Linked DNA regions of Astyanax mexicanus. The protein of the gene in region 3 interacts with the protein of the main gene of each other region in a biochemical or structural test. Links are inferred from orthologs where the notes say so. Each region holds a gene or a part of one and is shown on either strand. Other genes may lie near its edges.

Region 1 (10,834 bases), on a different chromosome or scaffold from region 3:
GTAGGGTGTAGTGATGGGGTAATGATGTTAGGGGTGGTGTAATAACAATATAGTGACTGTAGGGGTGAAGTAGCGGGCGTATAGTGTCTAATGTAGTAATGTAGTGACATTGTGTGTGGTGTTGTGAGAGTAGTGTCTAGTGATAACAGGGGTAGTGTGTTTAATACAGTGATTGAAGGGATGGTGTAGCAAGAGTATAGTGACTGTAGTGGTGACGTAGTGACAATGACAGTGACTGTAAAGACTGTAGGGGTGGTCTAGTGATGTTAGGGGTGGGGTAATGACAATAGTATAGTGACTGTAGTGCCTCTAATGACTGTAGGTGTATCATTACAACATAATGTTGGAATAACTCTGGGGTAATATTGTGACTGGGGATGCTATGGTGACTGTAGGTGTTGTGTAGTGATTATGTAGTGATTTAAAGGGTTAAGTAGTGTAAGTCCTGTTGTGACTAGGCCTTTTTTGTCCATCCTAAAAATGCACCATTATAGCAAGTCAGTGTATTCTCTCTCTCTCTCTGTGCAGATGATGGGGAAGCAGGATGGTGACAACTACACACTGGACGACATGTTTGTGTCAAGTGCTGCTCAGAAGGAGCGGGCAGGGCTGGATGAAGATCGTCAGCGCAGCAGGGCGAAGGAGGAGGCGCGCAGACTTGCTGGACGTCTGGAGAAATGCCCCTACTGCTTCACCAGCCCGGAGCTGCCTAAACACCTCATCATCGCTATAGGATCGAAGGTACACACTTCGAGAGCCTTCATTGATTGGATATAGTATATTAAATTAGTGTCCAGCCCAGAGTTTTAATCACATTCCCAACACTGAGAGGAGTACGTGTCTAAGTGTCTGCTCTGTCATCAGGAGATCGTACAGTAGGTCCAATCCCAAATGATGCCACAGCCATCCTTCAGTGACATGGAGTCCCAGAGAGCATACATACACATACACTTTTCTTTTTCTCCTTCTGTGTGTTTAGGTGTATCTGAGTATGCCGAACTGTGTGTCTCTGACAGAGGGTCACTGTGTGATCGCCCCACTGCAGCACCACTGCTGCTCTACTGGGCTGGACGAGGATGTGTGGAGCGAAATGCAGGTACATATATATATATATATATATATATATATATATATATATATATATATATATATATATATATATATATATATACACACACACTCCATCATAATAATATTTGTAGTAAAAGTCTCTGTTATTTGGAAGGGATAGATCATATAGGACAGGAAACCTGAAATGGCATTTATTATTATCCTTTACGCTTCACATAACAAATAAATATAAATGACAATATAAATCCAGCAATCACATGGGGTCTGCGTACGTACAAAAACATTGCGTAGGCCACATTTCATCTCACCCTCAGATGCACTAAATGTGATTTGAATGTGAGTGTTCATTTCAGTTTCATTTCATACATGCGTTTTTAGTGTGTTTTAGTAACACTTAAGGGCGATGCATTGAAATTGCAAACAAGAAATGATTGTTTTGTGCATACAGAAGTTTTCAGATCTGAGGCCCCTGCCCTTTTCTGATTGGATGGACTTATTGTGTTGGACGTGTTCATTTGCATATAGTTCTCTCGATTTAACATTAGCTCGGCTGTGTTTGAAGAAACTGATTTTTCCCAATGAAAATGAATGGGATTTATTGCGGAGCAGTATAAATGCAACCTAATCCAGCACTGTATCTTCACTCAGAGCTCACGTCTCCATACACTGACTGTATAACAGGACTTCTCCAGCTTCCCTCAGTGGCTGTGTCTGCTGTTTACCTGTTGTTTGTGGTGTTATTGTGTTGCAGGTGTTCCGCCGGGCACTAGTGCGAGTGTTCGAGGCTCAGGATCTGGACTGTGTGTTTTTAGAGACGCACATGAATCCAAAAAGGCGCCTGCACCTGCTGTACGAGTGTGTTCCACTGCCACGAGAACTGGGAGACATGGCACCTGTTTATTTTAAGGTCTGTTTCTTTGAGCCTTTTTTGACTAGCACCTGGGTGTGCTTTCTCCGCTGGTTTGTTATGTTGGGTCTGTGAAAGCTGCTTTTAAACCTGCAACTGTGGTTAATTTTGTAATATGATGCTTGAACTTAGAGTGTTGCTTCCTTTTTCATCTGTAGATATAATAATATCTAATGCCTAATAAACCCACACTGTGACAGGACTGGAGCGAGGGTATTGTAATAACCTCAGCTTTGTAGAGTGAGTGCGGATACTGACAATAGTCAGTCCTGCTGGAAAATGAAATCCGCATCTCTATAAAAGTTGTCAGCAGAGGGAAGCATTAGGTGCTGTAAGATTTTCAGGGAAAACACTGCACTGACTTTGAATTTGATATAACACAGTGGACCAACACCAGCAGATGGCATGTCTCTCCAAACCGTCACTGATCATCAGTAAATTTTGGATGTCATTTGGAAATCAAGGGAGCAGAGTCTGGAGGAAGAGTGGAGAAGCACACAGTACAAACTGCTTGAGGTCTAGTGTGAAGTTTTTATAATCAGTGATGGTTTGGAGAGACATATCCAATACAAATCCTACGATCCTATACATAGAAAGTGACTTTGTGGAATTGTGCTATTGGGAAAAGTTTCGGGAAAGTTCTTACATGTGAAAGCAAGGCAGCGATAATGAGCCCAGTCTTGGATGTGGATTAATTTATTCTTATTTACACACATCAGTACTACAAATAAGCATAAATGTGTTTAATATTATTGTGTATATATATGTGTTTGTTTACAGAAAGCTCTATTGGAAGCTGATGAGGAGTGGGCGATGAATAAGAAAGTGGTGGACTTGTCCTCCAAAAACATCAGACAGTCTGTGAGAGCTCTTTCTTTTTCTATAATTTTTTCTACCTTTTCTTTAGTTCTATCTGGTTTTTTTTTCTCGTCTGACAGTCTCTTCTCTCTCTCTCTCTCTGTGCAGGTTCCTCGTGGTTTGCCATATTTCTCAGTAGATTTTGGTCTGCAGGGAGGATTCGCCCACGTCATTGAGAATGAGCAGAAGTTTCCTCACTACTTTGGGAAGGTCTGTCTCACGCATGCACGCACAAACCATTATATACATACAAGGACTGCACAATATATAGTTTAAGCATAGTCACTGCAATGGGCACATTGTGCAATGTCATCTAGAGTACCAGTCAAAAGTTTGGACACCTTCTCATTCAGTGTTTTTCTGTATTTATTTATTTTATAAATTGTAGATTAATATTAGAAAGGGACACATATAGAATTACATAGTAAACAGTAAAAGTGTTTATCATCCACAATCCCCTGATCTAACCCTTATCAACTGAGATGTTGATTTGAGGTGATTGGGGATTAGCTGGAGCTTCACAGCATGAAGGAAAAGCAGCAACTATTGTTCAGCATCTCAGAAACTCCTTCAAGACGCTGAGAAAACTATTCCAGGTGACTCTCCCTCATGAAGACACTGAGATTAAAAAAACTGGAGTGTGCAGATCTGTCTTCAAAGATAAATGTGCTACTTAGAAAAATCAAATGTATAAAACAAATCCTGGTTTAACACTTTTTTTGTTTACAGAGCTTTAATATAGTCTTCCATATTAAATTTACAATGTAAAAAATTATAAAAAAACATTGAAGGAGAAGAGCTGTGCCCAAACTATTGCAATAAATGCAAAAATTTGGTCAATAAATGATGCACCTTGCAACAACCTTCTGTTGATGCAAAATGAAATTCCCACTGTTCCAATATTTTGCAGTGATCCGAACAATATAGTTTGTGTCTGATCAATAGAATGCATAATTAAAGAAAGATCTGGTGTATATATTGAAAAATAACAAAATTATTATTATTTTATTTTTTATTTTTTACATACATTAAATCCCTACATACACAGTATGTCTGACTGCTGCGTTATCCTGCAGGAGATTCTGGGTGGAATGTTGGACCTGGAGCCTCGGCGCTGGAGAAAACCAATCCGAGAGAACTTTGATGATCAGAGGAAGAAGGTCCTGGAGTTCTCTCAGTGGTGGAAACCATTTGACTGCACCAAGACTGACAACTAGATGCTTCCCACCAACTGTGCTTGGTTCAGTTAAAGTTAAATCACACCATTACTCTCGAGTTATATTGTTTTACAGAGATCCTCCTGTTGCCATGTGCTGATGTAATGTGATAAAATGATTTTATAATTAAAGTGTTCTTATAGCTCCTAAATTATTGTTCTTTTGCATCTTCATTTTAAACACCTCACAGTGTTATTGTTGTTATGCAGGGTCACTGTTTAAATCAAATATATATATATTTATTGCTTTTAACAACTGATGATATCGCAAAGCAGCTTTACAGAAATGTAAATGTAGGACAGAGAATCAGACAAAACATTAAACATACAATACAGAACCTCCAGTGAGCAACAGAGGCAAGGAAAAACTCAATCAGAGCTGGAGGAGGAACCAAGACTCACATGTACCTTGTATAGTAACACACACTATTAAGGCTAATATACTAATGCATCTAAAAATAGAATATCATTGAAAAATTACTTAATTTCATTAATTCAGTTCAAAATGTGAAACCTATATATTGTATAGATTTGACTTTACTTGATTTTGCCAATGAAAACCCAAAGTGTCTCAGAAAATTTTAATAATATATAAGACCAATTCGTACTTTTGGCATAGTGGGCAGCGTGCCAAGTCCTGCTGGAAAGTGAAATCTCTATAGAAGTTGTCAGCAGAGGGAAGCATGAAGTGCTGTAAGATTTTTCAGGAAAACAGTGCACTGACTTTGGACTTGATATAACACAGTGGAGCAACACCAGCAGATGACCTGTCTCTCTAAACCATCACTAATTGTGGAAACTTCCCACTAGACCTCAAGCAGTTTGGACTGTGTGTCTCTCCACTCTTCCTCCAGACTCTGGTCCCTTGATTTCCAAACAAAATGCTGCATTTACTGATGGTTGATGATTGGTTTGGGTGATGAGTCAGGGTGATTGTAAAGGTCAGAGTAAACAGGTGGTGGAGTATCATTAATTAGCATGTGCACACACAGACATCATGATGTATGGATTTATTGACTGTGCTGTTCCTTAAGCCGCACACACACAGCCAAGTATTATGAAGGTGATTGATTCATGATATCAGCATCCTTTGTAAGATACAATTCTGCCTGACACACACACATACATGCACACGCTCACTCATACCACACCTACGAATGCACAAAGGTGGTGTCATGGCTCACTGGCCAGTTTATTGGAAATACCTACCTTGTCTCTAGCTGTGCATGTAAAGCAATAAGAGAAAGGTTTCTGAAAAAGTAGCCAGTGAGTGTTTATCTGCACAGACAGAGTAGTCTGTTCATATGGTTGTGTGTGTGTGTGTGTGTGTGTGTGTACAGTGAGGCTGGGAGAAAGTGGGTCAGCATCAGGAGCAGAGAGATGCAAGGGGAGGAGGGGAGGTGATGAAGAAAAAAATGACCTAAAGGCAACACACACACACACACACCCTACACACTGCTAACATGACCTGACTATCAACTCTGACTATCCCCATGTTTTTCCTCTATTTTCAGCATATACAGTCTCGGTGCAGGGTTTTTGTCAAATGCTGTCAAAGCATTAATAATAGCCTATATATAGCCTTCCTCTTTTATTACAGAGAAGTGCATCCCTGCCCTTTGTCATACAACAGTTTAGCTCCACCCATTCAGCCTACAGCTGTTTAGCCCCACCTATTTAGTCTACAGCAGTTTAGCTCCACCCATTCAGCCTACAGCAATTTTGCTCCACCCATTCAGCCTGCAGCAGTTTAGCCCCACCCATTCAGCCTACTGCAGTTTAGCTCCACCCATTCAGCCTACAACAGTTTAGCCCCACCCATTCAGCCTGCAGCAGTTTAGCTCCACCCATTCAGCCTGCAGCAGTTTAGCCCCACCCATTCAGCCTACAGCAGTTTAGCTCCACCCATTCAGCCTACAGCAATTTCGCTCCACCCATTCAGCCTATAGCAGTTTAGCTCCACCCATTCAGCCTACAGCAATTTCGCTCCACCCATTCAGCCTACAGCAGTTTAGCTCCACCCATTCAGCCTACAGCAGTTTAGCTCCACTTATTCAGCCTACAGCAGTTTAGCTCCACCCATTCAACCTACAGCAGTTTAGCTCCACCCATTCAACCTACAGCAGTTTAGCTCCACCCATTCAACCTACAGCAGTTTAGCTCCACCCATTCAGCTTACTGCAGTTTAGCTCCACTCATTCAGCCTACAGCAGTTTAGCTCCACCCATTCATCCTACAGCAGTTTAGCTTCATCCATTCAGCCTGAGAAACGTCTCACACTGACTGACCTTCTTTCTCTCACTTTGACTTTCAGTCTCTCTCTCAGTCTTTACACGAACTTTATCTCTATATCTATATCTATTCCTCCCTTTCTTTCAGTCTTTCTCTATTCCTCTTAAGGTCTCCCTCTGTATCTCTCTCTATTTCGTTCTCTCTTTTTCTCAGTCTCAGTCTCTCTCTGAGTCTCCCTCTGTATATCTCTCTCTCCTTTTCTTTCTTTCTCTTTGTTTGTCTCTCTCTCAGACTCAGTCTCTTTATTTTCTGTCTGTCTCCCTCTGTATCTATAGCTCTCTCCATTTCTCTCTCTCCATTTCTCTCTCTCTCTCTCTCTCTCTTTCTTTAGGAGTGGGAGGGGTCAGTATCTCGCGCTGCTGCTGATGCTGCTGTAGGGAACCTCGCGCCGCTTTTCTCTCTCTCTCTGATCCTCGTGCGTGCGTGTGGATGAAAGCCCGCGCGCGCGTCCGTGATGCGGGACCGGCCAGTGCGCGAGCCACGACATAACACAACGACGGACCGCGCGCGCAAGACCCCGGAGCCGCCGCGTGCGTTGCGTTGCGTGAGATGAGCGCGTGACCCCCGCAGCATGTCCACGCGGAAGGTCTCGTCCGAGTCGTTTAGCTCCGCGAGCTCGGAGTGCGTGGAGAGCCCTGAGCGCGCGGACTGGCCGGACTGCCCGCTCGCGCTCTGGAACGGACGCAGCCCTGTGCGCGCGGCGCCCCGGCGCAGGAGGCGCGTGAACCTGGACTCACTGGGGGAGAGTCTGAGGAGACTGACATCACCCACGGTAACGCACGAGCGAGTCTGTCAGTGTGCGTGTGTGTGCTTGTGTGGAAATGTGTGTTTGTGTGTGGAAATGTGTGCGTGTCATTGTGTTTGTGTGTGGAAATGTGTGTATGTGTCAGTGTGTTTGTGTGTGGAAATGTGTGTGTCTTTGTCTGTGTGTGGAATGTGTGTGTGTGTGTGTGTATGTGAAAATGTGCGCATGTGTGTCAGTGTGTTCGAACCTTTGTGTGCGTGCTAGAGTCTGGGCGTGTGTGTTTAAACCTATGTCTGTGTGTGTCTGTGAGTGTGTGTGTATGGCATCTCCGTGCTCCCTGTGTAGTGTACACTACATGTCATACAAGTCCACAGTCTGCAGCTTTCAAGTGTGCAGATGAAGTCGGGTTGTGTCCCAATCCTCCTGTCTCGCCTCCTCTACACTCCGCTGTCTTAGAGGAAGACTGGATTCAGCTCTGCAGTGGAGCACTCTGTCTGACATTCGAAGTGTGAATGTTTATGTTGTAGAATGAGTGTGTTCATGAGAGACAAACAGTACAGGAGATAAGTGTGTGTGTGTTTGTGAGTTTTATGCACTGTGTATATATGCTAGGTATGTGTGTGTGTGGGGGGGGTGTAGAGTAGTGTGACAAGTGTAGAAGGGTTTAGAGTAGTGTACGAAGTGTAGGGGACTGTAGAGCATTGTGAGGAGTTTAGAGTAGTGTAAGGAGTGTAGGGGAGTGTAGAGTATTGTAATGAGTGTAGACAAGTGTAGAGTAGTATAAGGAGTGTAGGGGAGAAGTGTAGAAGAGTTTAGAGTAATGTAAGGAATGTAGGGGAATATAGAGTATTGTGAGGAGTGTAGAGTAGTGTGCAAAGTGTAAAAGAGTTTAAAGTAATGTAAGGATAGGGGAGTACTGTGAGGAGTGTAGAGTAGTGTGAGAAGTGTAGAAGAGTTTATAGTAATGTAAGGAATATAGGAGAGTTTAGAGTAGTTCAGATGAGTGAAGAAGAGTGTAGAGTAGGGTGAGGAGTGCACAGTAGGGGGAAGAGTGTAAAGGAGTGCACATTAATGTGAGGTGTGGAAAAAGTTTAAAGCAGTGTACAGAAGTGTAGATTAGTGTGAGGAGTGTAGAGGGGAGTGTACAGTAGAGTAGATGAGTGTTGATTAGTGTTGAGGAGTGTAAGGAGTTTTCAATAGTGTAAATGAGTGTCATTTAGTGTGGAGGAGTGTGAGGAGTTTTCAATAGTGTAAATTAGTGTGAAGGAGTGTGAGGACTTTTCAGTAGTTTAAATAAGTGGTGATTAGTGTTGAGGACTGTGAGGAGTATTCGGTAGTGTAGAATTACCGGTAGTGTTGATTTGTGTCGAGGAGTGTAGAAAGTGTAGCTGAGAATAAAGAGTATTAGTGAAAAGAGTACAGAAGAGTGAATTCTGAAAAGCAGATGAGTGTACAGTAGTGTGGGTAGTTTAAACGATTGTAAAAACTAGATGAGTATATAGATAAATATGAAATGTAGTGTTAGAAATGTAGAGAAGAGTGAATTCTGAAAAGCAGTTGTGTGTGCAGTAGTGTAGAGGAGTTTATAGAAATATCACTAGTGAGGATTGTGAGCACTATATATATGACTAGTGAGGATTGTGAAGAGTGCAGTGTAGTGAGAAGTGTATAGTAGTGTGAAGAGTGCAGTGTAGTGAGAAGTGTATAGTAGTGTGAGGAGTGTAGTGTAGTCAAAAGTGTATAGTAGTGCGAGGAGTGCAGTATAGTGAGAAGTGTATAGTAGTGTGAGGAGTGTAGTGTAGTCAGAAGTGTATAGTAGTGTGAGGAGTGAAATGTAGTGAGAAGTGTATAGTAGTGTGAGGAGTGTAGTGTAGTCAGAAGTGTATAGTAGTGCGAGGAGTGCAGTATAGTGAGAAGTGTATAGTAGTGTGAGGAGTGTAGTGTAGTCAGAAGTGTATAGTAGTGTGAGGAGTGAAATGTAGTGAGAAGTGTATAGTAGTGTGAGGAGTGCAGTATAGTGAGAAGTGTATAGTAGTGTGAGGAGTGAAATGTAGTGAGAAGTGTATACTAGTGTGAGGAGTGCAGTATAGTGAGAAGTGTATAGGAGTGTGAGTGAAGTGTAGGGAAGATGAGTACTGTTACCCCTGGCCAATTAAACAAATCGTGTACATAACCGTAGAGATGAGCGTATTAGAGTGGAATTGAAGCAGCTTTATAAGGCTAAATGTGTTATATGAGGGTTCCATAGTAAAGGTGATGGATACTCTTATAATTGTTCTATGAGGGTTCTTTAGTTAAGGTGGTGGTTCTGAACTTTTAATAGTGTTCTTTAGTGTATGAGTGTGTTATGTTAGTGTATTTGCTGCAGACTGGTGTGGTGGTCTGTGGAGGAATATGGGCTGATTTATACATCACCTGCATGCATTGCTGTGTGTTTGTGTGTGTGTGTGTGTGTGTGTGTGTGTGTGTGTGTGTGTGAGAGAGAGAGAATGTGTATGTGTATGTGTGAGTGTGTGTGTGTGTGTGTGTGTCTGTGTGTGAATGTGGATGTGGATCTCTCTCTCTTCTGACCTCTACCATCTCACTAGATGCTCTCTAACCAACCATGAAACACACTGCAGCCTGGCCCGCCGGCCACACACACACACACACACACACACACAGTTTTATATAATTTTTATGAGTCAGCGCCTCTGTCTGTGTCCGTCTGTCTGTTTGTGAGCTTATCTCTGCTTATCCTTCAAAACACACTGCCTGCATGTTAAATCTGCACCATGTGTTCCTGTGTATGTGTGCCTGTGCCTGTGCCTGTGTGTGTGTGTGCCTGTGTGTGTGTGAGTGAGAAAGAGAGGAAGACTAAGAATGTTTCTGCATTAAATCAGAGTTTGACCTTTCCATGCACTCAGTGTTTATGTGTGTTCTGGTTTTTGAGCGTGTGTACGTGCATATGTCAGTGTGTGTGTGCATGAGTGCAAAGAGACATGTAGAACTGCTCCTACATGCTGTAAAAGTCAAGTCCTCCCATTTTCTGTACTAATCTGACTCATTTGATTCATTGAGCGTTTCCAACAAATCAGCGCTGGAATTTCCAAAAGCATCTTAGCACACAATAATTCTTCAAGGGGCGAGCAAGCATCACACTGAACACTCTCTCTACCAGTTACGATGATGGCAACACCAACATACTTCTACAGAAAAATTGTTTTGCTTAAATCTTAGAGAAAAGGCATTAGACAAAAATGAGACACAAGATACTTCTGAGGTTACAGGAGTTAAAACACAAGAGAGTTTGATTTTAAATGCATTTAAGAAACGGGAAGATGTATTTGTGGCAGACCAAACCCAGGTGTCAAACCCTTAACATGGTCATCAATGGTCCAGTGCTCTAATTACTGAGCCACTGCTTTCCAGAAGCTAGCGTAGTTATTCAGAAATTAACAACTAAAGTGTTGTAACCCTAATTTAACACATTCAATTTAATCAACACAAACAACTGTCTAATCAGTTTTTACATTTTATTCTTTAATATTTTATTTCTTGAGCAGATATAATTTTGCTAAGAAAAAAAACATATTGCAGAAATAGGACCTAAAATGTTAATACTTCACATACTAAAACATAAATGAATAACTCAATTTTTTTTTATTTATTAAAAAAGAAACATTTACAAAGTAGCAATTAAGAATGCAGTATCTTGTATGCAAAAAAGTCTTTGGATGAGAAATAGTTGAGTTCACAGTTAAGT
Region 2 (10,753 bases), on a different chromosome or scaffold from region 3:
GAGAAAGAGGTAATGGAGTCTTAGCATTTGTTATAACCGCCCTTTACTCAAACAGCATTATATAAAGCCTGTGCTAACTACAACTACTGACAGTTACTTTGCTAATACAGGGCATCTGCAGATAAGTGTAAATTAAAAGTAAGATTTAAAAGACTTTGTAATTCCACTTGTAGACGTAAAACGTGAATGTAACAATATCAAAATTTCAAATAAACATAGATTAAAGGTTATAACTTGTTTATAAAATTTGGAAATTAAATATTAATAAAATTGCATTTAAAACATTTTAAGAAATCACATCCTTTTTATTTTAGTTAATCAAACTTTTTAAGCATCTGCAGATACCTTGCAATAAACTAAAAGCCTTGTGCTGCATATTTCAAGGGCAAAAAAAACATTTCAGTTCCTGGAAGATTGAAGTTCTTGTTCTAGTGCTCGTTCCTTTTAAGCTGATTCAGTGGAAGATCTTTGCTTGAATGCTGTTTACTTAATTACTTTGCTGCAAACAAATCAACTCTTTTCTCACAGGCTGGGCCAATTGAAGAAAGGGACGCACCAGGAACCTTTCTGTCATGGCTTATACCAAGGTATATTTTAACGTTTCTTGAACCTACCAACATATCCAATATGAGGTGCTTAATCACATTAGTTTCTATGAATATGGTTCATGTTAGAGTAGGTTATTTATTATAAATATGTTGCACTTTATTTTCGGTACATATTTTGTTACACTTATCAAGATCCCGAGTTTGCTTAAGTTAATACATTTTTGTTTCTAATAAAGGTATGAAACTATATACCAAATGAAAAAAGTTCTAAATAAAACTTTAATATACTTTTTGTAGTAGTAGTCACATCCTGGCATTAATCCACCTGTATTTGTTTTTCAGGAGGCCTGTGCACGTCTACAGGATATCTGGACGTTTTGACGTGGGAAATCTTCCATCTTACATAGAATGTGACAAATACTTCAAGGAACAACTTAAAAATCCAGACATTTATTTATTATAGATTTCATTACAATCAGAAACAGATTAAAAACTTCCTGTAAATGAAGAACTGAATGGAGAACAATGGAACCCAAATTCACTGATGACAAGCAGCTTTAGGGGGAAAATATTTTTTTATAAACATGTACAGATTGAGTTTTTGTGTAATAAACATGATTTTTGAAAGCCTGCGCTAACTGGTGACCAGTCTGTTGCATTTATCTGATGCCTTTTCATGGTTGTTCTCCAACTTGGCGATTCTGGAGCCGAACTGCATGGCTCTCTTGGGCAGAACAGCAGAGGGGCCCAGCCCTAGCTCTACAGCGGCCAGTCTCAGCAGCAGCTTCTCCCCGATTCCCCGGGGCAGAGACAGATCTGCCTTCTCCCACACCGGCAGACTGTTCAGGAAGCTCACCACGTCCTCATCCAGATACGGAAATCTGAGAGACACACAAAATACACGCTTATGACATTTCAGAAGCACAGAAATATTAATGATTATGTTCTACACTTCAGATTATTTTGAGTTTGGGGTGGGAGATAAGGATATTTCTGCAAAAAGAATATTCTTGGCAATAAGACAAAACAAAAAGGTGAAAGATTATGTAATGTAAAAAAAAAAAAATCGACCCCAACACTTTGTATTATATTTAGTACATAATGCACACCGGATTATAAAGCACACTATCACACTTTGATATTTTTATACGAAAGGTGCACAGGATTATGAGGAGCATTAAGCGACACTAGTAAGGAACAGGGGTGTCGCCATGTTTCATTTAGCAGCTAATGCTAATAATGCTCCAGCCTTGGAGCTGGAGAAATTTCACTGAAACTCCTTTATAATGCTGTACTTTAGCGGAATGGCTTTACTGCTCCTTAATACCTGACTGGTAGAATTAATACATAATTTTATTTACTGAGCCTTATAGTGTGAAAACATGCAACATATTTATGCAAACAAACAGTTAAACAAAAATAGCATTTAAGCTTCAAAACAAATGCACACAGACCACTTTCAAGACAAAATATCATGTTACTGATTTATGTTTTGTTCCAAAATTATAATGATATTACTGTGTATGATAATCACACACATATTACACATATATATATGTGTGTAATACCTCTTTTTTTAAGAGGAATTCCACACATTTTTCACAAAATGGTTAGAATACAAGTGAAGGCATTAAGAGTGGTTTGCTGTGAAACTTGCCAAGTGAAACTTGTCCACAGTGCAGTCTGAACCAGTGTGATCTGAACCAGATGTTTATTGCTTCGGAAATTACATCACACTAAATTATTGCACGACATGGTTACATATACTATAACTCGTGCCAGAGATCTTTTATTGGACTGTTTTGCAAAAATATTTTGGTCTATAATATATTTTATGGGAAATATGCAGGGTATTGTAAAGAATAATAATTTAAAACCATAATTTAAAAACAAAATCACTGCTGTCAGATTTACCTGGCCTCTTTTCCATGATCTCCAATGATGCGGTCATCACGCCCGAGATTCCTGGAAGATATCCTGCCCAGCTCCATGGCCAGCTCTTTGACCAGGCCTTCAAGACCTGAGTTCTTAAACCGTACTCTGTGTCTGGAATAGCCAGCCAACTGCTCATCTGCTCCAATTCCAGTCAGAACCACCTGCCATATGAAAATTCTTGTATTTTTAAAATTGCAATACACATAGCAGAAAAATAATTATTGCAATGTCTTGCTAATGTTTTTCAAGCCTGCATGCATCCCTAATCCGAACTGTTCCTTTTTGTGTCACAAATTCACATTTAAATAACTAATAAACATGCTCCAATAAGACTTTTTTTTTTCACTTATTTTTTATGTGAAAATTAGGATTTGTTTTTTGTACAGTTGTCATTCTGACAATACAAGGTTTTTGTGCGACATCAACAGGGTTTTACTTTTAACATGTTATGGAAAAATTAACAGCAGCTACCTTTGCATTTGAAGTGTGATCCTTCTCTTCTGCTCCCTCTGATACGATTCCAGTTCCTCTAGCTGCAAACCACACAGCACATCCAATGCTGTCATCCAGGACAGTGTCTAAAGGATGCACCAAGTGGCAGATACGCTTCTCCCGCATTTCCTTCAGCTCCTCCTGAGTGACGTTAATCTCAACAAAGTTCCATTTTCGTGAAGGACTGATCTTTTTAAGCTCTTGTAGACCAGCTCGACCCGTGATTCTGTCTGGAACGTCGAAGCAGTTTGAGGTGCGCTGATCTGATGATGTGATGTCATTCACACTGACATTGACATGCTCGCCGTTGTTCTTGTTCTTGTGTTGTTTCTTTTTGGATCCCTGATTCATTTTACGCTCCTGAAGCTTAAAAGCAACATTGAGAAGGTCGATTGGTTTGTCAGGAGGGATGTGGCGATCAGCGAGAACAGCCAGAATCATCGAATCGATTCCACCAGAGAAGAGTATAGCAACTTGTGCTTCATCTGACTTTGGTGTTTCAGTTGGACTAACATTATCAGTATAGGGCAGTGACTGGACTCTTCTGCGGACGGCCTCACTAAGGACATCTATAAGGCTCCTCACAAGTTCTTGTTTTTTTGTGCTTTTTAGAAGAAACTCTTTTAGGTCATCAGAGGATGTCAGAGAAAATGTGTGATTAGGTTCATCATTAGAATCAACTGCTTGTATGGATGTATTCATTGGATTAACAGGAAAATTGAGCTGGAGTCCAGCATTATTCATAACCAATGAGACAGAACTGGGAAGACCTTCAGAGCTGAAGTCATTTGAAGGCTCATCTCCAAGATAAACCCATGGATAGAGCTCAAGTTTCAACTTCCCACCCTGTGAACAGCTTTTCAAGTCCAACCTGTAAACACCAACTGCTGGTACTTCAAGCCACTTGGACGAATCAGAATCTGGCAAGCGAGAAGACACTGAGGTCAGTGTAAATGAGCCCTCCTCAGACCCACAGCTCCACAGCAGGCTCCTCCTCCCAAAGAAATCCCTTCCAAACCAGATACATTGATTAACTTTACTGTAATAAATAAAGGACCAGGGTCCCTTAACTTGAGAGAGGACAGATAATAAGTCTGAAGGGTTTTTACAAAGAGACAGATGCTGTATAACAACTTTAGTGTCGTTTTCCTCAGCTCCCACTGGTAACCCACCAAACACCTCACCGTTCCAGAGGAGAGTATTACCATCATCATCTTGTAGAGGCTGGGGAGTCAACACTCCCCTCATATGAAGCACATGGCTAGAAAAAAGGCAGCTGTATCGTGAAGCTGTTTCTGTAATATCACGGCTAGAGTGGGGTCCTCTGTTTTGGAGCTTTTCACGCACATGTTTCTGAAGTACACATTGAGAGGACGCACTCAGGTTCACCACACAGCAGATCCCACACATTCTGGCTGGAATACAGCTCTTTTTTTTTTTAAAGGTTTACATATCTTGATAATCCTTCTTCATTTTGTCCAGTTCTTCTGTGGAAAAGGAAAAATGAAACTTGGCATTATGTTCCATTCTGTGTGCTATATACTGTACTGCAATCAACTGTTACTACTTCATTTATGTATGCAACATTAGTGTAAGTACACACATATATTACACTAGGGGTGGGACAATGCATCAATGTCAACGTATTGTATTGTATTGTATCGTATACATAGGATCAAATTTTATTTATTTTTATTTTATTGAAACTCAGACGATTTAAACACCTTAAGACTCGCCCGCCAATTTAATTTACTAAAGTTAGTGCTTCATTCCTCTATGAGGTGGCGCTAATCAGCGTAGAGGATTGTATTGTGATACATCAAGTAACAAAGAATCACAATATCATGACATCATTTTTATCACGAGCAACATATCGTGATAAAATTGTATTGTGAGATGCTCTGCGATTCTCAGCCCTATATAACACTGTGTGTAAATGCGGTTTTCGGTGTATACAAGTATGTATACACTTTTTTTTGTGTATACACAGAGTTTTGATGTATGTTTTGGTATTTCAAATGAAAATGTGATGCTATCTCTACATACAGCTGTAAAAGGATGAAAATCTTACTTTTACAGGAGCTCAAGGTCTCTCCTTTGTCAGACAGGAAGAATATGTTGCTGTTGGGCTGCTGAAGGTAGACTTTCTGTAAAAAAAAAAAAAATGTTGTTCCAGAGAACATATGTTTACTTGGTGCTTAAAAGAAGCCAACATTACATTACATGTTACAGTTGCAGTACATATAATGTATTCCACTTATGCAGGTTTTCTTACCCTGTTTTTCTTCAGATTCGACAGCTCATCAACTAAAACCTTCTGCTCCTTAATCTGCAAAGTGAAATCAGAAGTTCAAAACATACGCCGATATACTGGTGATTTTTTTTTTTATAAACATTGTATTTCAATTTAAATGTCTGAACATTCGTAGGAATTAAAAGTTCAGTACTCTAAAAAATGATCTAACTGCACTAGTCCAGAATAGCCAGAATAGTGAATTTGTTTAAAAACAGAGGTTTCATTAATTTTTTTTATGTAAATGTATGGAGCCCCTAAGGTGACATCATGTATTAAAAAAATGCCCATGCCTTATCCCGTTCCCACGCATTAGGTTCTCATTCCCACACTTTTATAAGTCGTGGGCATTTTGTTTCTCACACCTCCATATAAATGTATTAGTTAATATGCTAATAAATGATAATTATTTAAAATTTCAATATTAAGGTTTACTATAACTATTTCTGGGGTAATTTATCATCTACGTAAAAGTTATCATTGAGTTGACTTGTTGAGCAAGTGATAAATAAACCCTGAAACTTTATAAAGGGATATTTAGTTATGTCATTTGCCTAGACTACACACTCTGGACACAAGTTAGTTAGTTAGTTAGCTAACGCTAGCTAGGCTAAGCTACACCTTCTGGACACTATTTAGATACTTAGTTAGCTAAGCTAGACTACACACTCTGGACACTGGTTAGTTAGTTAGCTAGGCTAGGCTACACACTCTGGACAGTGATTGGTTAGTTAGTTAGTTAGTTAGTTAGTTAGTTAGTTAGTTAGTTAATTAGCTAAGCTAAGCTAAGCTAAGCTAAGCTAGGCTAGGCTAGGCTACACACTCTGGACACTTGTTGATTAGTTAGTTAGTTAGCTAAGCTATGCCAGGCTACAAACTCTGGAACGACACTATTTAGTTAGCTAGGCTGAATGATCTGAAGCACCGTGGTCTGGTTACCCCACCTTGGTGTTGAGCTCCTCTCTGGTCGGGCGCTCCTCCTGTGCTGGGTCCTCGGGCTGCTCGCTGCTCCTGATGGACATTTTAAGCAGAAACGTTCATTAAATGTTTAATAAACAGCAGCATTAGCGCTTAGCCGCATGCTCCCCGCTCTCAGACCCGGCGCGGAGTGCTGACGTGCACGTGTTTACATGATCTGTGCAGGCGGCGCGCGCGGTGTGTACAGCGGCGCCTGGAGGCCGGCGGCGGTACTGCAGTGAGAGACAGACAGATGGGAGGGTTAGATAACAGCAGCACTCAGAGAGAGAGAGACTATAAACATCTCCATAACTCACCTTTCACCCCGAAACTACATTTTCTCATACTCAAGACTTTTAGCATACTTCCCAGTTGTGTTAATCCACCCAATTTCAGTTAAGTTTAAATGCACCAAATGCTCTTATTTATTTAATATACAGCTCCAGTTATCATTTTTGGACGCACATCTTCTCATTCAGTATGTTTTCTTATGATTTTTTTTACATTGTAAATTTAATTATAGAGACTAGATTAAAGCTATACAGGAACACATGCTGAATTATTTAGTAAACAAAACGTTTTAAACAAGCCAGAATATGTTTTATACTTTAGTTTCTTCTAAGTACCACATGTATCTCTGAGGACAGATCTGCAGTGATCTTCAGTGTCTTCATGAGGGAGAGTCACCTGGAATAGTTTCCTCAGCGTCTTGAAGGAGTTCCTGGAGGTGCTGTACAATAGTTGCTGCTTTTCCTTCACACTGTGAAGGTCCAGCCCAAGTTGATCAGGTTTATATTAGGGGATTAATGTGGTGGACAAACACTTTTTAAGTGTTTAATACATAAATTCACCATAGTTCTTCCATAGTTTTGATATGCTCTGTATTTTTTATTTATTTAAAATGTATTATATAAAAAAATTATGTATACGAATTGTAAAATAATATTGAATAAGAAGGTATGTCCAAACTTTTAATTGGTATTGTATGTAATGGCTGTATGTAAAACAGTGGTCTTTGACTTGCATAGAACTGAGAACGCTGTAAAAAAAAACTCTTTTTTTTTCGGGAACTCTATGCACTTTATGGGTTTATTCAGTTGCTCCAGCAGCAGCAGCTCACCCGATTTGTACTTTAATGAAGCTTTGATTAGATAAACTAGGGGCTGGATGGGAACTGGAAATACTGATCTTCTGTGTAACAACCTCTTTAATTCTCCTACATATAAAAATCAGTAGCAGTATTTTATAAATGATATATAGTATGTACTGTAATCTTTTTGGACAAGTAAATTCCCTTGGTGCAGATAATGGACTTCACCCAGCAGCTCCTCAGAGACCTCAGTAGGCCTTTGTATTGTAGTCTACTGTACTCGCACATACACCACTTAAAGAGACTCAACAGAAACAGCCCTCTCCTTATAAACTGGTGATTTGAATACAGAAGCTCCTTTGATTTGTTTGCCTATACTGTGTGGACTCCAGTGTGTGAGTGTGTGAGTGAATGTGTTTGTAATGGTTCAGAGTTCCTTCAGTCCTGTATTTTGTGAAATTCCAGATTCTACATTCATAATAACTCAAACAAGCATTTACTGATTCACTGTGTTTGTCTGTGTGGTCCGCTCCACTCGGCACTATAGCCCCGTTGAGCTTGGTCACTCTTAACAGGCTTAGTGGTTGACCACATGACCTGTGTTTGCTCGTGTGCTGCGGCTTCCAGTGTCACAAACACACGGGTTTGTTTGGCCTCTGTCTCAGTCACTGCCACAGCAGCACATGAACTCTGCAGATTTCTGTATTGACCTGTATTGATTTCTGCGCACCTGTGTAATGTCTCTTTTCGCTTGGATCTCGTCCATATTCAAGAGTTTACTTTGCTCAGATTAGGAGGCCTAATCTCTTCTGGAAGAAACATGATATACCTGGAGGAGTAAACACATGGTAGTGCCAAGCAAACAGATGCAAAAGCAAAGGAGACCGTGTTTAGCGATTTTACATAGAAATAAACTCAAAATAAGCATCAAACACACAGATGTTTAGCATGTTCTTAAACTCTAGATGTAAGAATTTGCAGACTGCTGCAAGCCCAGGCAAGCAGATCACATAAAACTAGAACAAATGACATATGATCCATAAGGTCACGTGACCAAGAAGCACACCAGGAGCCAAATCACTGAGGTACAATGCCATTGGAGAGCAACAAACAGCACAGTCACTGTGTCTGAGTAATTTGTTTTTATTTTTCAGATTTCAGAGGTGACCCTCAGCGTATTTTTAGTCCCCCAGTAGCAGAACCCGACCAGATAATCCGCTCCTTTTCATCTAAAACCACAGCGTAAGGTGTCATTGCATGTAAAGGCGAACAACAAATGATCATGACCACCACACACAATGAGCTATACTCACAGGGTCATTTCTTTTTGTTTAGTGGTTTAGGAAAGGGTAATGGGACTAAACCATCAACCACAAAATAATACCTTATAATTCAACTCACCAGGCCAGTGAGTGTTGAGGCCTACATGTGTGGACACATGAGGGCCGGTGTTCAAATTAGGAGGCGGTAATGATTTCTAGTAGTAGAGGATTCCTGTGATATCTAGAGGTTGATGATTTGTGTTGGACTGTTTTTGGTATATTGCTATAAAATTGCAATCCAATTCATTAGATACTTCACTTATTAGGGGCTTGAGCACAGAATGATTTTTTAGGGTTTTTTTATTATGCTTATTTCCTTTCTGCCTTTAAATGGAACGCACAGACCAAACTGTAAGGCCTAGAGACATGAAACTTGGTCAATTAGTAGCAAGTACAAGATCCCATAATCAAACATTTTTATTGAATAGTAATTTTTTTCTTTTTCATTCAGTCATCACAAACTAAAAATGCCAATAGAGTCATAAATGACTGCCTATTTTTTGCAAATAAGCATAATATGCAAAATCTAATTTGTGAGCTAGTCCTAGGTTTTTCAATAAACACACTGATTCACTTGACTGACGAGTCAGTCAGCATGTTCAGAGGAAAGTGTCGGATCTCCAGGTCTAATACATCAGCCAACTGAAGCCTGTGCCAGTATCACAATAGGAGTAATGTGGGGAGAGAGCACCATCTACCCTCCCAGAGAGAGTATGGCCAATTGTTCTCTCTCTGGCATACCAAATTTCACTAAACTAAACAGCTGGCCCAACTAATCTGAACATTGTGTCATAGCTCAACAGGAAACCTACTGATACTCTAACTCCTATAATTGCAAAACAAATAAAGTTTTCCCCCTTATATCAAATACAGACCTTTTTGATGGTGTTATAAATCTTTTACCAAAAAGTGTCTCATTTTAGCTGACTCCACTCTACTTCACAAATCTGATTTTGGAACTGGGCTGACTGCATTCCAGGTAAAACTTCCAATAATTGTATACTATTTTCAAAATGTTTGCTAAAACCAGTTCGCTATTGATTCCTTTGGATCTTTGTTTTTAATTTTCATCATTTTTTTCATATTTTTTTCTTCCGAACACCCTGAAAACATTTCCACAGATAGAAGTTGGACAGTAGTGTGTGTATGACTGATTTAATGAGACACAAATAGATAGAAATGATAATAACGAATGATCAGGTTTCCACAATCTTTTAGACACTTAGCATATCTATATCATCTTACTTGTGCTTTCGATATTTTCGAATATTTCACGTGATAATATCTGAAAGTCATTGCTTCTCTAAGGCCTTGCTTAGGCAGCATAACTAGGGTGCATTACTCAGCATATAATACAATCAGTGGGGCCTACCTTTCAGGACCGAACCAGTTACTTTTGGAGAAGTGACCAAAAAACAAGGTCCCCAATAATACACAAAAGCAGAAAAGAAACAGGGAAGCATCCCTCATTGCACGAGTTACTGCCATTAGAAAATATATATTTCAACAAATTGAATTTATTGATAGACAGTGGTTCCACATAATTAAATTCAAAATGATTCTAGGTACACAAAATACCCTTCTGTGACAAAAACATTAATAACTAACATATTAGCTATATTATCTATTGCCACCTCTATAACGCCTCATGGCACAAATCTGCATTAGTGCATACTTGGTTACTGTAGCATTCAGCCAACCTAATGTCACAGTACATGGTAACTTGCTCTTATATATAGATTATAATAAAACAATAGGGGATGATAACCTGGAGGGAATGACAAAACTCTGATGGTGAGCAATAGGGAAGAAACACACAGCCACTATGCAAATAGATAGTGCCACAAGCCAATGAGAAAAGTGTGATCTTTACTAATCAAGATTGCACTGTCTAAAAAATAAGGCAAGTAATAAGGAAATTCATTAGCAGTAACCAATGAAATTAGTTGTGGGTGTTGCCATTCCAGATGGTACCACAATACATAAATATATAGTACTCATAGTTTAAATGTAAACATATTACATTGTAGCAACAAGAAACAATAAAGTGTTTTGAAAAGCTCATGTATTTTAATATTTGAGTCAAATTTGCTTTCATGTTTAGATGCAAAACATA
Region 3 (10,502 bases):
TTTTTTGCTCTCCAGGACAGCATGTATATGTAGGAGTTTTAGATGAACCAGCATTCTAGGCAAAGGTTCTGGCACCAAACAAGTCAGCGAGCTCTTCAGTACTTTCTCTTTTACATGGAGGATATATTAAACAACTAGCTTTGTGCCAAAATTCGCAGCTCATTTATAAAAGCAGTAAAGGCCGACCTGAAGTGAATGTGATGGTGGTTAAACGGGCAGAGATTGCAACAGTAAAGCATTACTGCACTCAGGCCCGTAACAACAAGGCAAGCAAACCAATCCATTAGGGCATTAGCTGCTCTGAAAGCAATGACAAACTCTGTGGGCCCGCCTTTAATTCTGTGATGATCAATGCAGGAAAGTCCAATGACATTCTAATCAGAATCCCCCTCAAAGGGGCCCCTCCCACTTGTTGCTGACAGCAGCCTGCCAGCCAGCCAGGTTTGTGATTCCCGCAGCTGGCAAAATATGAAACTTCAGCCATCATGAAACCAGAAAAGAAAGGAGAGAGAGAGAGAGAGAGAGAGAGAGGAAGAGGAAGGTATGTGCTAATTTACAGGTTGGATTCTTTATAAATGACAAAATTAGAAAAACATCTTACTAATAGTAAACAGTAGTTAGCTGAAGTATATTTGATTTTACACTTATTACACAATTTGCCCTTTCTTCATGTTTATGTTGGTTGTAATGTAATTAGGCCTGTTGTGATAACTATGTTATCGACTTATCGTACGGTAATTGGACTTTCTCAAAACTAAACAGCTTTAGAGAACCTTTGAGGAAGTTTTAAAGCCGTATTCCGTGGCTCCAGTGCGGGAGTATTTTGGGAGTATTTTGGCTTTAAGCCAAATGAGCGAGGAGAACCATCAGCGCGATTCAGCTGGTATGTTTACAAGGTTTCACAGCAATGGAAACAAAAGCTGGTAATACCGGAGATCTTATTTAAAACACAACCATCCAGCCCAATTAATCCAGCTGAATACTGAATATAAAAATTGTTTCTCCAGAGAGATCCTGCCTCAAGCCCCACACGCTAAACATGCTGGTGTTTTTTGCTCAGAATTTGTCTGACAGTTACATTAAAAAATACATTTATAGCAAGAGCTCTGGTCTGCTGAGATATCTGTTTGTCTTCGATCATATGGACTAAGCTAATGTGTGTTTTACAGCATATTAAACATATATAATCAGAAAAAGGGCCCATGTGTTCAGAGTTTTATAAAAAATAATTAATGTAAATGTTACTTTAATCTATTTGTTGTTACTTTATTTTTTGAATAAGGGTCTGTTTAATATTTAGTGCAGTTTTTCAGAAGCCAGGGTGGTTGTACAGGTGGTTGTACTTTATTTGTTTTAGTTATTTACAATATTAAAATATTTTTATATTGGGAGCCTAATGTCTGCTCTAAATAATATAAAGTTAGTTTAACTGTAAAATGGTGTAATAGTATTATGCTAGTATTTTATTAGTGTGGCACATTGTCTTTAAGCACCTTTGGGAGCCCAGAAGCAGGAAAAAAAATTCTATAGTGGTGCCTTAAAAAGACAATATTATCGTTTATCGCAATAATTTCTGGGACAATATATCGTCCTGAAAATATTGTTATCGTGACAGGCCTAAATGTAATTGTTCCAATGTAAACATTACCATGTGTGCAGTATATGCACAGCATATGTAAGCAGTATTTTCCATGTCAAAAAAATATTATATTGATGTAAAAAGTGTGTTAACTTAAATTAGTGTTTCGCCAGTACACATAGTTTAGGTGTTGGCAACACAGAGCAGTCCACTAAGTGCGTTCAGAAATTTTGGACCCAAATTTTAAACATCTGTAGCTGCCAAATATATTAAGGTACAAAAATCTAATTTGGCGGAATCATAAAATTCATCACACAGTTTTAAATCTTGGATGTTGTTTTTTATAAAATCGTCTGATAGATTTGCAGAACACGTGCAGCACTCTTTCTGTTCACTGCTCTTGTGTACAGCATGTATATGGAGGAGTTTCAAATAAATCAGCATTCAAGGCACAAGTCAGCGAGCTCTCCAGTATTTTCCATTTTACATGGCGGAAATATTGGACCAACCAGCTTCGTGGCAAAAGTTTGGGTACCTCATGTCAGCAAACACTCTAGAACAGACAGAGGTTTCAAATTATAAAGTACAAATATTTGTTACCTTACTTAAAAAGAAATTTGGGTTATCTATACTTTACTGGAGTAATTATTATTTTTCATGTTTTAAAATAGACATGATACTCCTATTTCATTTCAGCTTGTTTTCATCCCGCTTTCTCACTGTAAAAAAAAAAAAAACCTATCCAGATCAATCTCTCCATCCAGGGGCTCTGAGTGGTGCAGCAGACAAAGGAGCTGCCACTATGATCGGGATTTGCTGGTTCGTATCCCGTTTATGTAGCTTGCCATCAGCTGCTGGAGCCCTGAGAGAGCACAATTGGCCTTGCTCTCTAGGGGGCTCTCCCCCCACATAACTCCAAAAGGTCAGCACAAGGCGTCTGAGAGCTGTAATGTATAGCAACCATGTCGCTGCACTTATCTCCGAGCTCGCTGTGATGCTACTCGACAATGCTACATCAGCAGGAGTTTGAAAAGAGGCGGTAGCTGACCTCACATGTATCGGAGGGGGTATGTGCTAGTCTTCACCCTCCTGGTGTGTTGGAGCATCTCTAGTAATAGGGGGAATCCTACTGAGTGGGTTGAGTAATTGGCCTTGTAAATTGGGGAGAAAATGGGATAAAAGTCCCATCTGGATAAAGTGAATTTGAATATGGTTGAATGAAAAAAGCATAAAAACATACCATTCCAACAACTTATTGGTTTATTCGCAATCTATCACGTCACACTCCAGCAAGAACACAGCAGACACATGTAGTCTAGTGTAAAGATGATCCGTGCAGAGACTCAACAGAACACAAGCCAAACATCTAACCAGGCTTCTTTAATATATTTGCATTGTATCAAATACATTCATTTTCAATGAGCATATATGCAACTAAAACAGGGAGTCTACTGCAAATCTACTACCCAAATCTATCAACTTTAATATTTTAATATAACATTATAGTCATTATGGCCTTTAGAAAATGTTAGGGGTGGCATGAGATCTCGCAAGATTAAAACGGACGAGATTTCTCGTCAGGCTTAAAACTGTCTCGCGGGGCAAAAAAACAGTTAAGTGTGGACTTTTTAAGAGGGATCTGGCAACTCAGTAGCGATAGCAATAGAGTATGATGGCTGAGCAGCGAGAGCAGCTCTTAGCAGAAGAGGAAAATTTGGGCGTTTGTATAGAAGATGCTGCTGCTACTTTTAAGTTGTATATCTGGCTGCATTTCGGCTCCAGTGGAAACAATAAACAAGACACAAACCATATATAAATACTGTAAGTAAATCCTACACGTGACTGTTTCATAGGCAGCTGTACTAATCCCTTAGCTCTGTACTGTATATCTGTTTGCACTTCAAGCATAGTCTTAATATGGCTGGTTGTGGTTATGCATAGTTAAATTACAAGAGATTTAGGAGAAAAAACACAAACCATAGGCTTAATATGACTGGTTGTGGTTTGCACTTATTGTTTGCACTATATAAGACCTAGAAAAGTTTTCTTTTTATTTTTTATTCTTATTTATATTTCTTATAGAATCAGTGTGTGAGAGTCTGTTAAGTTTGCGTTATATAATTTTGTCAAATAAACGTTTTCAAGCCATTTTTCATTTTTGACATTTTCTTTAAAATTTCATTTTTAAATCTCGTCTTGTTCTCGTGAACCCAATATCGTGTCCCGTCTCGTCTCGTGATATTAGTGTCTCCTCACACCCCTAGAAAATGTGCACTATAGGACCCTGTGGCTTTTTCCTTAATGGTATTTCTTCACCCTACATTACTTTTACTTTTATACTTTAAGTAGTTTTGAAAACAGTACTCTTACTTGGGTAAAAAGCTTAAGTTGATACTTTACTCCTACAGAAGTTATTAAAACTCTAGTATCTATACTTCTACCTACAGAGTAATGAACGGTAACATTAATAGTTTCCACACCTTTTCAGTACAGTTTGTGCATGAAAAAGCTTTGGAATAAACCATATCTTGGTCAAAAGTTTGGGCACCCCACTTCAGTCAGCATGGGGAGGCTCTGGACCAAAACATGTATTTTTTTTTTTTTTTACCTGCGCCCTTTAATCCACCAATCCACCCAGAGTTTACCTGTCTGAGTTTAATTAAATGTTCACGGAATAAAAAACTTTACTCCACTTTACTCGGCAGTACTAATACTCCTGCTCAGCCCTCCGTGCGTGCACATACTTACAATACTCAACAGAGTAGTTAACGTCAGGAATACGCGTTCCCGTTCATACACACACACACGCACACGCACGCACACGCACACCGACCTTACCGTGAACGCGCCGCGCGCCCCCGCATCCGCCTCGCCGTTTACATGCTCGTGCGCGTGCCCGTTCTCCTCACAGCTCAGGGTCAGCGCCTCGTCGCCCAAACTCGCGAACACGCGGTGCCACTGCTCGCGCACGAGCACCTCCACGAACCCGCTCCTGTGCGCGCGCTGCGCGGGACCCGCGGCCGCTACCGCCATCCCGCAGTCATCTCCGCGCGCGCGAATAATCCAGCCGCGCTCAGCTCGCGCTCACCCTCTCTCAAACTTTCCCCCGAGCTCTGACTCACCTCCAGCCTCCAGCGCGCGCTGACTCCCCTCCCGCCCTCACACCGGCCCCGCCTTCCTACACTCTGATTGGACAAAAGTTTTTCTCTCCACACCCAGAGCCACGCCTCTCGTCATTCTCCCACTCTTATTGGATACAAGCTAGATTGTAGGTAAATACCCTCATTCCGAACATTTGTTTATTCGGACCTATGCAATTATACGATTTTCAAATATATAAAAAATAAAAAAATAAAGAATATAAAAATAATAAGAAAAATGTCATAAACCCAATTGATATCTGTAATCTTTTACATTTTATTTAAATCCCACATTTGTTTTTGTTTGTTTGCAAAAAAAAAAACAATAATAAAAAATAATAATAATAAAAAAAATTGTAGTCTGCCTGAGCTTGACCTGATGAAGAGATTTTCCCACTATTTAAAAAAATGGCGTGTGACTTAGTCATACGTATTTTAATATTATTTTTTATTTTATTTGATATAAAGGTATGGGTGATAATCACACTTTGATTATAAAAAAGATGTTTTAATCATGCAGAACTTTCCATGGTGGATGCTATGGTTTTGCTATGTTGTTGCGAGGTCACTGTTTAGGTATTGCTTGATGGTGTCATCAAGCATTTGGACAATATAGCTGAAAAACACACACGAATGTGAACATAATGAACATATTACCATTCGTTCCTATGGGATACATTTGTACGAAAACCAGGAAGGTGAAGGTGATGACAGAACAGCTCCTTACTACCTGCAGTCACTACTAAAGGCTTACGCTACCTCCCGGCCGCTGCGCTCCTCCAATGAACGTCGTCTCACTTTACCAAACATTCACACAAAGCAATCCAGACTGTTCTCATACAGAATTCCCCAATGGAGAAACAAACTACCTTCCACTACCAGATCAGAAATATCCCTCACTTCCATTTATAGATTCATGTATATAGGCACCTAGACACTTTATGCTGTATACAACTTGCACTTTTGCTCTGTTCTACCAAAGATTTTATACCTTTTGTATATCTATCTATATTCTTCGTCTGCATTATTTGATTGTATTTATCTAATTATGTGATTTTAAGCTACTGGTCACCTACATTTTATCTATCTGGCTGCCATCTGAATGAGAAGGGTATGTGAACACTTCTGCAGAAGTCGTTTTACAGGTGTGCAGATAGAGAGCAGTGTTTGTCATGTTTCTGAACCCCCAAAACAATCTATAACTGCAGGCTACAGACCTTTTAGATGTATATTTTAGGCTTTGGCGACACCTGGAGGCTGACTGTGTGTCTACAACTGTAAAATAAAAAAACTTTAAAGTAAGTCAACCTTAGAAGTGGTGGCTGACTTCACGTGTATCAGAGGAAGCATGTGTAAATAATTAGAAAAAAAATATATAGCTTAAGAACTAGCCAAAAATAACCTTTAGAATTGACTTGTTTTCTTTATATCTACAGGTAAGCTTTAGAGAGCTACTGCAGGACTGCTCTAAACTGTCACTCTCTATATGGTGCAGAGCAGTAAGTAAATGTATTATTATTATTTTTTTTTCATTTCTTTTAATTTTACATTCATATTCATAATTTGTATACAGTTGTAATATTGTAATATGTCCACTGGTGGAGGTGCTCACTCATTTTACTCGACTGATCTCCAGAGTCAGAATAGATATTTTTGTACATATCAATTTTAGGTTGGCTGATTCAACTTGCATTAAACTTTATTTGTATTAAATATGTATTTCTTGTTTGTATTTTATTCGTTTAAATGAGAAGGGTATGTGAACACTTCTGCAGAGGTAGTTTATACAGGTGTGCAGATAGAGAGCAGTGTTTGGAATGTTTCTGAACCCACAAAACAATCTATAACTGAATGCTACAGACATTTTAGCTGCATTTGAGCATTTTTTTTATTTAGGGCAAGCAATTTGTCTGATGAATGCTATTTTTTACACCGATTAAATTGAGTTAAAGGGTGTGATTTCACGTTTCATGTGAAGACAACAAGCCATTTGACTAGTTGCATGTTCCCCCCTTGCAAACACCCCGCTCTCTCTCGCCATAATTCTATCTCCTATTAAGTGAGATCACATTGTATGGTCATTTATTATAATATGAACTGTTTCACATGACACCTCAAATGGAAGACATTGATTGCTTTAGATTACGTTTGTCTGTATGAGTTTGTAAATAGCATATATATCCCTGTAAAGCCCAAACCATTAAATAATTGACATACAATTTCAATTCTTTTAAACTGGAGCCTTTATAAAAATATCAAGCACTTTATCAAATGCAAAAAAGATGGATTATATCATGGAATAATATTATATTAATTTTTCATTATGTCTTGGTAATGCACACACTTGTATAGGGTGAGGTAGTACCTTGTGTGTGAGATGGCCAGTGTGCTCAGAGCAAGGTGATGTGAATTATCATATTATAAGTTTGAATGAGCTCTGATAGTAGGTGCCAGATGGATGGAACAACTACTATTTCTAAAGGTATGGAGGTATTTATTGTTCCTCAATCCGCAGTGTCTTGTATATATCAGCAAAATGCCAGGGAAGTCACGCCCTCGCTCTGTTTCCCTGTGTTCCTGCGTTTCCCAGTGTGTTTCCCCTGTAATTTTCCGTCACGTGTCTGTAATTTGTAGCTCCGCCCTTTCCCCCAGGTGTTCATTGTTTCATGTTAGTATAAATAGTCCCTTTTAGTCTATGTTTGCTGTTGGTCTTTGCACCTTCCCATGTTGTCTGTCTCGCCACGTTTTTGCTTATTCCTCGTTCCTTGGTTATTTGTATTTACACTCTCTTGTTTATTTCTAGTTTGTTGTTTGTGACGTTTATTTCCTGTCACGTTTACTTCCTGTCTGTTTCCTTGTTTATACCTGTATATATTTACGTATTTATCCCTTGTTTATATCCCTAGCTCTGTTTAGTTTATTATCTGTTCAGCTTAGCTCTTTGTTTGTTTTTCCTGTTTGTTTATGTTTATATATGTTCTCGTTTTCACCTTGTTTGTTTGTTTGTTATTTATTAAAGTCTGTCTTACCCGCATTTACGTCCGCCTCCCGTCTGCTCCCATCGTTACAAGGGAAGGCGATACCCCCTATACTCCAACAAATAACCAACAATCAACTATTCTTTTTTTACATGAACAACTTTACTTTATTTAGAAATATATTTATTAATTCATGAAGGCACTAAAATATATTAAATAAGTGGTTGCCAAAAGGAAAAGGTGATTGGAAGAGCTCAGTCCTGTTTATTTATCATGACTGATGCCCCCTGAATTATCAGTGCACTGCATGTACCTCATAGTATCGATTGAGTTTTTTAGGGAAACAATTGTAACACTGCTCATTGGAGGGCTCAAAAAAATCATGTATCAAATATGATACGTTTGGCGTTATAGGGATATACATATTTTATTTTCCAGAAAAAATGAATAAATTTGAATTGTCTGATGTATATAAAAAGCAAAAAACTGTGATCAGCACTCATTTATTTAGTCAATTCATGTTTGTGGTGGGTGGTTGGGGTCCTTTGCAAACAGCTTGTTGATTCATGGCCCATCTTGCAAGTGATGAGTTTTTGAGGTCTGTCCATTAATTTTGCTTTATAAACATGAGCCCAGGAGCCTGAAGCATCAATGATCTTCCCTCCAATGCTTAACTGTTGGGATGTGTTGTTTTTAGAAATGATGTGGGCTTTTTAGGGTTAATTGCTGTATTAGTTGTAATAATGCACACAAAAACACTTTTTTGCAATACTGATATTTTTATATTGAGTTTATATTGAGTTAAAAAAAAGTTTAATAAGTTACTACTACACCAAGATGTGTTTTCCATATTCTAAAATTAGCACGCCATTGTTTATGCTGAAAAAGTAAAAGTCTAGTATTTGTATTGATGTACAGCATTATTCTACTGATAAGATGAGGAACAAAAACGACTCTCATTCACTTACATACTGTTTGATAAACACTTTTATTATTAATTTTTAAATAAACAGAGAGGTCAAAAAGATTTTAGAGAAGTTCTGGAGTTCTGATGACCAGTGGTCGCTATCAAACTTCTCTCAGGGCAGTAGAATCAATTGCTTATATTAGCTATCAGGCTTTCCCCAGCTATCAAGACTGTGCCCAGGCTGGTCTCCTTAATACTTTATTTATAAAACCCCCTGTGAGCAAGCCAAAGGCGGCAGTGGCAAGGAAAATCTCCCTCAAAGCTGGAGGAAGAAACCTTGGGAGGAACCAGACTCACAGGGGGGACCCATCCTCCTCAGGTCGTAAACTGTTGATGAAAAAAAACACATTTAATCACATTAGTTTGCTGTCTACAGTCTGAACCCCTGTTCAGTCTTGGTCATGCTTGCGTAGCTTCAGAAAATTACGGGCCCAAATTAGTCTTCTTCTTCTTCTTTTTCTTCTTGTTCTTCTTCTTAGTCCTCTTTGTCTATTTCTTCTTCTTGATATTCTTCTTGTTCTTCTTGTTCTTCTTCTTAGTCCTCTTTTTCGTGTTCTTCTTTTTGTTCTTCTTATATTAGCTGTCAGGCTTTCTCCAGCTATCAAGACTGTGCCCAGACTGGTCTTCTTAATACTTTATTTATAAAACCCCCTGTGAGCAAGCCAAAGGCGACAGTGGCAAGGAAAAACTCCCTCAAATCTGGAGGAAGAAACCTTGGGAGGAACCAGACTCACAGGGGGGACCCATCCTCCTCAGGTCATAAACTATTCATGAAAAAAAAAATCACATTTAATCACATTAGTTTGCTGTCTACAGTCTCAACCCCTGTCTAGTCTTGGTCATGCTTGCGTAGCTTCAGAAAACGACGGGCCCGAATCAGTCTTCTTTTTCGTCTCATTCTTCTTCTTTTTCTTGTTCTTCTTCTTGTTCTTGATCTTGTTCTTTCTTGTTCTTCTTCTTGTTCTTCTTCTTGTTCTTCTTCTTGATCTTCTTCTTGTTCTTCTTATATTAGCTTTTATATTATATTAGCTTTTTCTTGTTCTTCTTCTTAGTCATCTTTTTCTATTTCTTCTTGTTCTTGTTCTTCTTATATTAGCTGTCAGGCTTTTCCCAGCTATCAAGACTGTGCCCAGGCTGGTCTTCTGAATACTTTATTTATAAAACCCCCTGTGAGCAAGCCAAAGGCGACAGTGGCAAGGAAAAACTCCCTCAAAGCTGGAGGAAGAAACCTTGGGAGGAACCAGACTCACAGGGGGGACCCATCCTCCTCAGGTCATAAACTATTGATGAAAAAAATCACATTTAATCACATTAGTTTGCTGTCTACAGTGCAAACCCCTGTCTAGTCTTGGTCATGCTTGTGTGGCTTTAGAAAACGACGGGCCCGAATCAGTCTTCTTCTTGTTCTTCTTGTTTTTCTTCTTGATCTTCTTCTTGTTATATTAGCTTTTATATTATATTAGCTCTTTCTTGTTCTTCTTCTTAGTCCTCTTTTTCTATTTCTTCTTCTTCTTCTTGATCTTCTTCTTGTTCTTCTTATATTAGCTGTCAGGCTTTCTCCAGCTATCAAGACTGTGCCCAGGCTGGTCTCCTTAATACTTTATTCATAAATCCCCCTGTGAGCGAGGCCAAAGGCGACAGTGGCAAGGAAAAACTCCCTCAAATCTGGAGGAAGAAACCTTGGGAGGAACCAGACTCACAGGGGGGACCCATCCTCCTCAGGTCATAAACTATTGATGAAAAAATAAAATCACATTAATCACATTAGTTTGCTGTCTACAGTCTCAACCCCTGTCTAGTCTTGGTCATGCTTGTGTGGCTTCAGAAAACGACAGGCC

Evidence for each region.
Region 1: the proteins of sntb1 (region 3) and gucy1a2 interact in a test that uses a peptide from one of them, tested with the Homo sapiens proteins (2 studies listed by IntAct, with this or other methods). The link is inferred for Astyanax mexicanus from reciprocal best matches to the Homo sapiens genes SNTB1 and GUCY1A2.
Region 2: the proteins of sntb1 (region 3) and asnsd1 interact in a test that uses a peptide from one of them, tested with the Homo sapiens proteins (2 studies listed by IntAct, with this or other methods). The link is inferred for Astyanax mexicanus from reciprocal best matches to the Homo sapiens genes SNTB1 and ASNSD1.

What each region holds. Positions count from the first base shown.
Region 1 is NC_064425.1:12,485,449-12,496,282, reverse strand, and holds the start of gucy1a2 (guanylate cyclase soluble subunit alpha-2), read left to right. Parts: upstream 1-6,391; 5' UTR 6,392-6,915; coding exon 6,916-7,116; intron 7,117-10,834. Other genes in the region: cwf19l2 (CWF19-like protein 2), read left to right, coding at 529-741, 980-1,096, 1,823-1,978, 2,759-2,839, 2,945-3,046, 3,913-4,053. UniProt on the Homo sapiens protein: Has guanylyl cyclase on binding to the beta-1 subunit. Isoform 2 acts as a negative regulator of guanylyl cyclase activity as it forms non-functional heterodimers with the beta subunits.
Region 2 is NC_064418.1:43,504,390-43,515,142, reverse strand, and holds asnsd1 (asparagine synthetase domain-containing protein 1), read right to left. Parts: upstream 5,123-10,753; 5' UTR 5,047-5,122; intron 4,463-5,046; 5' UTR 4,386-4,462; coding exon 2,955-4,385; intron 2,645-2,954; coding exon 2,463-2,644; intron 1,430-2,462; coding exon 1,183-1,429; 3' UTR 1,012-1,182; downstream 1-1,011. Other genes in the region: uncharacterized protein zgc:136439, read left to right, coding at 1-9, 529-587, 891-1,011.
Region 3 is NC_064413.1:9,207,056-9,217,557, reverse strand, and holds the start of sntb1 (beta-1-syntrophin), read right to left. Parts: upstream 4,704-10,502; 5' UTR 4,613-4,703; coding exon 4,418-4,612; intron 1-4,417. UniProt on the Homo sapiens protein: Adapter protein that binds to and probably organizes the subcellular localization of a variety of membrane proteins. May link various receptors to the actin cytoskeleton and the dystrophin glycoprotein complex.